Caenorhabditis elegans: one gene and its partner. The protein of the gene in region 1 purifies or fractionates together with the protein of each later gene. This does not show direct contact. Each region holds a gene or a part of one and is shown in the gene's direction. Other genes may lie near its edges.

What was found.
Region 2: the proteins of cnt-1 (region 1) and rab-5 purify together in Caenorhabditis elegans (affinity purification with western blotting, with the first as the bait; one study listed by BioGRID). This does not show direct contact.

What each region holds. Positions count from the first base shown.
Region 1 is NC_003280.10:12,085,824-12,090,746, reverse strand, and holds the start of cnt-1 (Truncated cnt-1), read left to right. Parts: upstream 1-1,878; 5' UTR 1,879-1,885; coding exon 1,886-1,957; intron 1,958-2,002; coding exon 2,003-2,136; intron 2,137-2,274; coding exon 2,275-2,451; intron 2,452-3,105; coding exon 3,106-3,244; intron 3,245-4,126; coding exon 4,127-4,216; intron 4,217-4,923. UniProt on the Caenorhabditis elegans protein: GTPase-activating protein for the ADP ribosylation factor family. Regulates endosome recycling downstream of rab-10 and upstream of arf-6.
Region 2 is NC_003279.8:9,306,573-9,310,767, forward strand, and holds rab-5 (small monomeric GTPase), read left to right. Parts: upstream 1-1,869; 5' UTR 1,870-1,872; coding exon 1,873-1,963; intron 1,964-2,259; coding exon 2,260-2,348; intron 2,349-2,551; coding exon 2,552-2,863; intron 2,864-3,063; coding exon 3,064-3,198; 3' UTR 3,199-3,649; downstream 3,650-4,195. Other genes in the region: nmat-2 (Nicotinamide/nicotinic acid mononucleotide adenylyltransferase 2), read right to left, coding at 19-128, 176-247; uev-3 (Ubiquitin-conjugating enzyme E2 variant 3), read left to right, coding at 3,757-3,817, 4,182-4,195.

The sequences.
Region 1 (4,923 bases):
ATCTCAATTCCGGCTGTTTGTCATTTTGCCCATTTGCCGAAAACTGCAATTCCGGCAAGTTGCCTGGTTTGCCGATTTGCCGGAAATTTCAATTCCGGCTGTTTGTCATTTTGCCGATTTGCAGGAAGTTTCAATTCTGGCAATTTGCCAATTTGTCGAAAACTTTCAATTCCGACAAGCTTGTCGATTATCCAGAAATTTCAATTCCGGAAATTTGTCGATTATCCAGAAATTTCAATTCCGGCAATTTGCCGATTTGCCGATTCGCCGGAAAATTCAATTCCGGTAATGTGCCGGTTTGCTGATTTGCCGATTAATTTTTGAGCTTTTTTGCAATGTTTCCAAGTCAAATAAAACATATTTTCAGATAAAAAAATTTTTTTATTTTATCACTAAATTTTGATGAAAAAAGTATTTTTTGTTGGATAATCACGTGGTGCCAGGCTGTCCCAACACGGTTTGATCTACAAAATTGCGGGAACTTTTCCCGCAAAAAATGTGACGTCAGCACGCTCTTAACCTTGCGAAGTCAGTTGAGAAGTCTGCGTTTCAACTCCCGCATTTTTTGTAGATCTGCGTAGATCAAACCGAAATAAGACTCTGGTACCACGTGTACATATGTGTAATGTTGTTGCATTGCAAAATTCCAATTTCCCCGTAACTCTTTCTCGTCTGCCTAGAAAAGCAAAGTAAGAGAATATTAAATTAGTTGCGCTCTCGGTGCCTCCCCTTCTCCTCCTCTCACCCAATTTCATTCTCAAGCTCTCTCCACAAAAAAAGAGTATTGAAAATCAAGAGAGTTCCTAGAGAAACAAGCAGTGAATGTTTATATACGACTGTCCTTTTTCTCCAAAAATTTCGTCCTTTTCTTCTTCCCCCCACAAACACAATGACCTCCGTCCGAAAAGTTGTCGCGATGTTCTTCTCCCGCCGTCTAACTGCCTGCGTCTCTTCTCTATTTCTCTCCCTCGTTTTCCTGTTCATCACCATCATCATCAGCGGCAGCCGTAGCGGCAAGAGAGAAGAAGAACCGGCTGTTTTTCTGTTTTTTTTTTCTGTTCTGAGGCTTTTGTTACGTGTCTTGGAATTTTTCTCTTTTTCCTTTATTGTGCGAGTGATATGGACTTTTGGTTTTCTTTAAAGGCGCATACGGAAGTTTAAGTTGTTGAAAAAAACATTTGAAAATGTTTTTTTTTTTAATTTCAAAAGCCACGTGGCATATTTACAGCCACTTATCAAAAAAAAAGTTTTTTTACCCAAAAATTGTTGGTCGTTTTTATAGGATTTTTTTTGCGAAATTTTGGAAATAAAATTAATTTTAAAATTTAAACTTAAAACTTTTATTTTAACATTGGGAAAATTTTGTTATTTTCCATAAGTTTCGATAATTTTTGTACAGAAAAATGGTGATAAAATTAGTTTTTCTTCTAAAAATCGGACTTTTCAGACTTTTTTGAATTTTTTTCAAGTGAAAAATTTAAGCAATTTTTTTAAAATCAAGACTGTTTTCAGTTTATTTTTCTATTTTTAGCTATTAAAAATGAAAATTTTCAAGAGAAAAATGTTTTTTTACCATTTTTTCGACATTTTTTCTATTAAAATTGCGTTTTTAAAAACCAAATTAATTAATTGATAAACATGTGCTGTCAATTTCAATGCCAAGTACGCAAACACCACAGCTGCACAGTACCAGATCTACCGTACTCTTCAATTAATTAATTGAAGAGTACGGTAGATCTTGTTCTGTGCACCTGTGGTGTTTGCATACTTGGCATTGAAATTGACGACGCAATATTATCAATTAATTATTTTTGATTATTTTTTCTCAATTTTCAGCCGAAAAAACTCAATTTCTTCGTATAAAATCGATAAATTTCCAGATTTTATGACAGTATCAAACAATGGAATGGCGATGCCGTCTGTTCCGCCAAAAATCGACTGCTCCGAGGCAATTCAGGTAGAAATTCCCTCAAAATACACCAAAAACCTAAAATTTTTGCAGGATTCTCCAAAATTCCGCGCAACAGTCGCTCAACATGCAATGTATTTTAATCGATTAGAGAATCGGCTCAACGAAATGCTCCGACACATCACTGCAATGATTGATTTCAGCAAAAATTATACGAACACGTTTTAGTACGTGAAAAAAATTCATTTTTGGGGTCTCGAAACGATTAAGCTTTCAGATTACTGTATTTTAAAGGCACATAGCGAAAAATAATCGTTTCAAAACCAAAAATTCAAATTTTCTCAAAAAATCCCCGTTTTTTCCAGCAAATTAACGGTTTCGGTGAATCAATTATGCGATGAAAGCTTCTCCGGCAATCCATTGGCGTCTACAACATTCCAAGGATTATCAGAAGCCTATGCACACACTGTTAACCTATTTCGCACGTATTTCGACCATTCAAATGTGGTCACTTTCACGAAACTGTCGAATTTCATTAAAATGTGAGATTTCCGGAGTTTTTTTTGGCGAAAAATCATAAAAATCGATAAATTCTGAGTTAAAAAGGCCGAAAATTACAAAATAACGAGTTTAAGCGAATTTAAATCAAAATTTCGTTTTACTTTAAATTTAGAGGTGAAAAATTCAAATTTCCCGCTGATTTACTAGATTATTCATTCTAGAGGTACAGAAAATTGACAAATTTGAACAATCGAAAATTTTAATTTTTTTTGAACTAAAGGTATTTGGATTGAGCTAAAAATTTTAAAAAAATTTTTGAGCCAGAAAACTTCAAAAAAATTTCTATATTGGAAAAAATTAATTAATTAATTAATTAAATAAATTAAAATTCCTGTAAAAAAATTTGCAAAAAAATAGGCAAAACTCGATTTTTTCTCGGGTTTTTTGGTAATTTTTCAAAAAAAAAATCTTTTTTGAAAAGTTGAATTTCCCGCCAAATTAAAAAAAAAATCAATTTTACGTATAAAACAATATAAGGCAATTTTTTTCGAAAAATAATAAATTTCCAGCCAAAATTCAAGTGTTTTTAACCAAAAATCGCATAATTCACAACAGAAAATTGAAAATTCAATTAAAAATTAGATTTTTCGAAATAAAAAAAATTCAAAAATGTTTCCTCTAAAATCTAATTTAAGTGAGCTCACAAAAGTGGCAGAATCCCGTGCACATTTTGAGAATATGTCCCAATCAATGGATGATGCATTAGTCAAAAATGCGAGTATTTCAAGGCAAAAGCCTGCAGATGCGACAGAAGGGCGAAATGCACTTACTGCGGTGAGTTTTTTGAATTTTCAACGAAAAATATTCGAAATTCTCGATAAAAAACCAAAAAAAAATTCATCCAAATTTTTGAAAAAAATTTCTTTCTAAAAATAGGTATTGTACTGAAATTTTTTTTTACAAATTAAAAAACAGATATCTTTTTTTCGCCAAAAAAATTACTTAGTGATTTTTTTTTGTAAATTTTTAAAATTTTTTCTTCGAGAAATATAAAAATCGTAAATTAATTTTTGCAACAAAAATTATTGATTCATCAAAAAAATGTTAACTTTACTGAAATTTTTTTTTTAAATTTAATTTTTCGAAAAACTAAAAAAAACAGAGAAAAAAACCTAATTCAAAATCGACTTTCTTGAAAAATGCCCATTTTTACTGAAAAGAAATTTAAAAACATTTCTTTTGTAATTTTTTAAAGATTTATATTTTTCGAGAAATATAAAAATCGTTAAAGCGAACAATCAATTTTTTGAAAAAAGAAATATTGATTTATCAAAAAAAGCCGATTTTACAGTAAAAAAAATTCCAAATATATTATCTTCTTTTTTATTTTTTTCAAGATTATTTTATTTTTCGAGAAATTGTTAAAATAAATAATTGATTAATTTTTGGATAAAAATTTAATAATGTTACTGAAAAAAAAAGAATTTTCTGAAAAAAAAAGTCTATTTTTTAAACAATAAATCGAAAAATTTAAAAATGTTCTTAACAAAATCAAAATTTCTGGTTATATAAAACATTCAATTTTGTCGTTTTTTTTTTTGCTTCACCTTAAATAGTTTCTCACAAAGCGTCTCAATTGCAAGAAAAACCACTCAAAAACCCTTAAACAAATAAAAACATTTTTTTTTTCAAACCAAGAAACCCGCTCTTTTCCAGGTCGGCACTTGCTTCGCACACACCACACTCGACTACGTGGCAAATATTAATATTGCACATGCACACAAGGACCATATGATTCTCGATGCGGTTCGTTTTGAATTTTGAAAATTGTTGGTTAAAAAAATTAGAAATTCCCTCGGCTAATGTGAGAGTTATCACATAAAATAACGGAAACTTTTTTTTTCCAAAAATTTGAAAAAAATTCAAAATATTTTATTTTTAGCTGTAAGAGTTTTAGAAAGATCAATTTCTTGATTTTTTGCTCAAAAATTTAAGAATTTATAAATTTTTTTGTAGCCGTTTAACATTTTACTTTTGCCAAAAAAAAACATTAAAATAAAATTTTTAAAAAAATTTTAACTAAAAATTCAAAATATTTTATTTTAAACTGTAATGCATTAGAACTTTGTTAAAAAATTTGTTTTTGAATTTTTAAACTCAAAAACTTGAGAGTTTTGAAATTTTAAATTTTGCGAAAAAGCCCGAAATAAATTTTTTTAAAAGTTTTTTGACTCAAAAATTACAAAATTTCTCAATTTTTAGCAGTTTCGCATTATAATTTTTCACTAAAAATTTCAAAAAAACTTTTTTCCACTGTAGTTATAGTTTTGGTAAAAAAAAATCAAAAATAATTTTTTTCCCGTTTTTTACTCAAAAATTAAAAAAAAACATCTCAATATTAGCCATTTTCCTTTGAATTTTTCTTATTAAAATATTCAAAAACTTCCAACTTTTAGCCGTTTAGCATTCTAAATTTGGTAAAAAACATTAAAAAAAAATTTTTTTTTGTTTTT
Region 2 (4,195 bases), on another chromosome or scaffold:
CTTAAAAACTTTTTCTACCGAAAATTAGATTTTATAAGCGTTGGTTTATTGTTGTATGAATCAGCAACGGGACTCATTATTCCTTCAACAACTTGTGTATTAATCGTTTCGAGATGTGACCTGGCGACCTGAAAATTCATATATCATACATTTAATGTTTTTTTTATTTGATTACCTCAAGCATACGTAAATGTGCAATTGTTGGTGGATTGAACGACCCGACGGCAAGAAGAGCGACTCGTTTCATCGTTTTATCACAATATTTATTGAAACTGAAAAATATTTTGTTTTCTTCTGAGCTATTTAGAACGAAACGTTTTTGAAAAAATATGAAAAATATCGAGAGTGATCAGAAACGAAAAATTTTTTTTAAAAGTGTGTCAAAAAATGCAAGTCAGGTGGAAAATCAGGATACGTTTAGGAAATTTCTTATTTATTGAACCTTTTATTCACAAAATCGACAAATTTTTATGATTGGGAAATATTAAAATTAAGCATGAAACAAATTTAAAATGAGAATTTTAATGTGAAAACATTCTAATACAGTTTACTCTTAAAGGGACATGGCTCAAACAAAAAAAGTTGTCTCGCAACGACTCAGCTACAGTAGTCTCTTTTGAATTTTCTTGAATATTATTTGAGACCCGAAGAACTCGGGGGATGTCCAATTGGGGGGATTACCAACTCGGGGGATTGGCCCCGCCCACAGAACCGTGGCTTGCAATACGCCCATTTCTGCAACTGCCGCACGGTTTTAAAATTATTTTTTCTTGTTATTTCTCGCTCTATTGAGAAAAATACAGTTTTAAAACCGTGCGGCAGTTGCAGAAATAGGCGTATTGCAAGCCACGGTTCTGTAGGCGGGGCCAATCCCCGAGTTGGTAATCCCCCCAGTTGGACATCCCCCGAGTTCTTCGGGTCTCTATTATTTCACACTTTTTCCGCTTAATTTTGCGCGTTTTTTTTAAATTTAGCCAAAAATTACCGGAAAATAAAAGTTTTTCGAAATGAAAAATAATTTTCATCAAAAATGTAAAATTGGCCTAGCGCGAAAAAATATAAATTCGAAAGCGCGCGCACCGAAAAGCCTCCTCCCGTTTTCATCCATTTTTGTCTAACTGTCTGCGATGTCACACAAACATTGAATACTCAGTCAACTGCGCCCGTCACCACCCCAGAAGGTACGCAGCCAAATTGGCTACCCCCGACGAAGCCCGTGTGTGTCATCGATGTCTGTTGCGCAAATATTTCTTTTTTTTAGTTTTATTGATTTTCATATATCCTGCAATTTAATTCGTTCACTACTTTTGGATGCTTCCAGAAAACTAATTTTAATCTCAAACTTCATCAAAACTTGAGAAAAAAGTTTATCAATTAATCAAATTACACGTGATGAATAATATGCAGAGATAAGCAAACTGAATTGATGAAAATAGTGATCAAAACCCGTATTTCTTTATCGATTTCATCACAATTTCGTTCCTCGTGAGACACCCGTATGAATCAATAATACGCTTGTTTACCACTCTTCAGTCTCTCGCGTGCCTTCAATCTTTTTCGGAAATTGCTCATTTCAAATCAATTTTTCCACTTTTTAAGTACAAGGATTTTTAGAAATTTTTCTAGAAATTTCAGGGATTCAAAATTGTTTTATCAATGAGAATTGAGATATAGAATTTTAGTCGAACATTATTTTTTTTGTTCTTTCTGGAAAGAAAAATGCAACATTATTTCTCTTTGAAACCATTTTGATATTTTTTCAGCTGAATCCTCCCTCATATCGTTTCCTATGTGAAATTATGCTTATTTTTTGCTTGTAATTTATTCGATCGATTTTTAATGTAATAAATTCAACAAATTTGTATTTAGAAAATGGCCGCCCGAAACGCAGGAACCGCCCGGCCTGGAGGTCCAAACAGAACGTGCCAGTTCAAACTCGTTCTTCTCGGAGAAAGTGCTGTAGGTGAGTTGATACTGAAAATGGAAAAAACCGCTAAAGGTTGGAGTAGAAAATAAAAGCAAACAAGAACAGTTTTCCAAAAAATAAAGATTTTTTTATTCTACTCCGTTCTGTCTGTAGCATATTTCGCAGTTGCTGAAAACCGTCACAAAATTTCGAAATTGCGTTGATTTCGAAGTTTAATTCTTCGTCTTTTGATTGTTTATATGTTTAGAATTATGGGTCATCTGATAGTTGCTAGCATATGACGTATATGCTCTCTTATTTCACCTAAACATCACAGAAAACTATCATTTCAGGCAAATCATCTCTCGTATTGCGATTCGTCAAGGGACAATTTCACGAGTATCAGGAGTCGACTATAGGTGCTGCGTTCCTCACTCAAACTGTGAGTTTTTGAATTTTTTGTGAAAATATAACAATTTTCCCTAATTTGAACAAAAATTTTGACTAAAATGAAAAATCTCGAATTTTAATAATATATTGTTTTTTAATAATATAATTGCGGAGATTTTTGCTCGAAAAACACGGATTTTATATTGAAAGACGTAAAAACGTTAATAATTAAGAATTGAATTTTCGAAATTTCAGGTGTGCCTTGACGATGCAACAATTAAATTCGAAATCTGGGATACTGCAGGACAAGAAAGATATCATTCATTGGCACCAATGTACTATCGAGGAGCTCAAGCGGCTATTGTTGTCTACGATATTACCAATCAAGAATCTTTCCAAAAAGCGAAAAATTGGGTAAAAGAACTGCAGCGACAGGCATCTCCAAATATTGTGATGGCATTGGCTGGAAACAAGGCTGATGTTGCCAATAAGCGAACTGTTGAGTATGAAGAAGCTAATGCTTATGCTGAGGACAATGCTCTCTTGTTCATGGAGACATCTGCGAAGGTACATTAGAAAATTTGGATTTTGACAATAAAAACATGTTAACAGAGTACTGAAATAGATCAAAAACTAAAATTGTTATTAAAAATAACAATAAACTTTGTTTTCTGCGAAGATAGTTTTTGAACTAATCTCCATTAAAAAATGAATGAGAAATTTAAGATTTCCAATTTAAAATCAATTCTCTATTTATTTAATTACAGACCTCAATGAACGTGAACGATATTTTCATGGCAATAGCTAAAAAGTTGCCAATCGGACCAGCACAGGGTGAACCAACGGGAACTGTCGATATGAACCAACCACAACAGCAACAAAAGGGTTCATGCTGTAAATAAATTGACGACTTTTTCATGTACCATCAACCCTTCTAGCTCCGCTCCTCTTTTGTTCTATATATCTTTTGAATCCAACGCCTGTGATCGTCGTCATTGTTTTCCCCTCGAAAAAAAAACACTTTTGAACAAGTTTTTTGTGCTCGCTTTCTTTATTTATTTTCACTCTTTTAACCCATATTTTCTCATTTTTTGTATATTTCTGACTAATGTTCAGCCAGTGAATGAGCTTGCACAATTGGCTCTGCCCATTTGCTTTTTATATGCGAAAACTCCCATTTTTTCATTCAAATGTTCCAATTATTTATTGCTTCTCACCATCAACATCCAAGTCCCGAACCCCACCATCCCACTGTTAGTACTTTTCTCGTCAAAGTTTCACCACCTTTTTGTCAATTTTTTTTCAAAATTTTATAGCATCCTTTCAGAATCTATCCGAATAAATTGAAGTTCGAAAATGTATATACTTGGTAACACAAAACCCTTCGTATACGATCGATATTAGATATTGAATTCAATTTTCTGAAAAACAACAAGGTGAGAATTATTTGAAGAATACAAATGTCCGATCAACCTGGAACAAGTAGACCGCCTCTTCGAGCAGAACCAACGCCCACAAAAAGTAAATGCTTTTCAAATCAATTGAATTCAAAAGAAAGTTAAATTTAAAAATTAAATAAATTTACTTTAAAATATACAAAATCATCTGAGATTTTTTAATTTTTTTAAATTTTTACATTCATTTTTTAAATATGTATCTGATTTTTTTTTCGAAAAGCAATGAAAAAGTATGGAAAATTATTTGAAACTACAGTACTCTTTAAAGGCGCGCACCTTTTTATATTTAACAATAATTTGTCGTGTCGAGACCGGGTACCGTGCCTGTAGTGAAAAAACACAAAGAAAATAGTTCTGTAATTTTTGTCATCAATTTTAGCTTTTTAAATCAAACTTTCTAGTAGGAACTTTGAATTTTTAATTTTCAGCTGCAACACGTCGA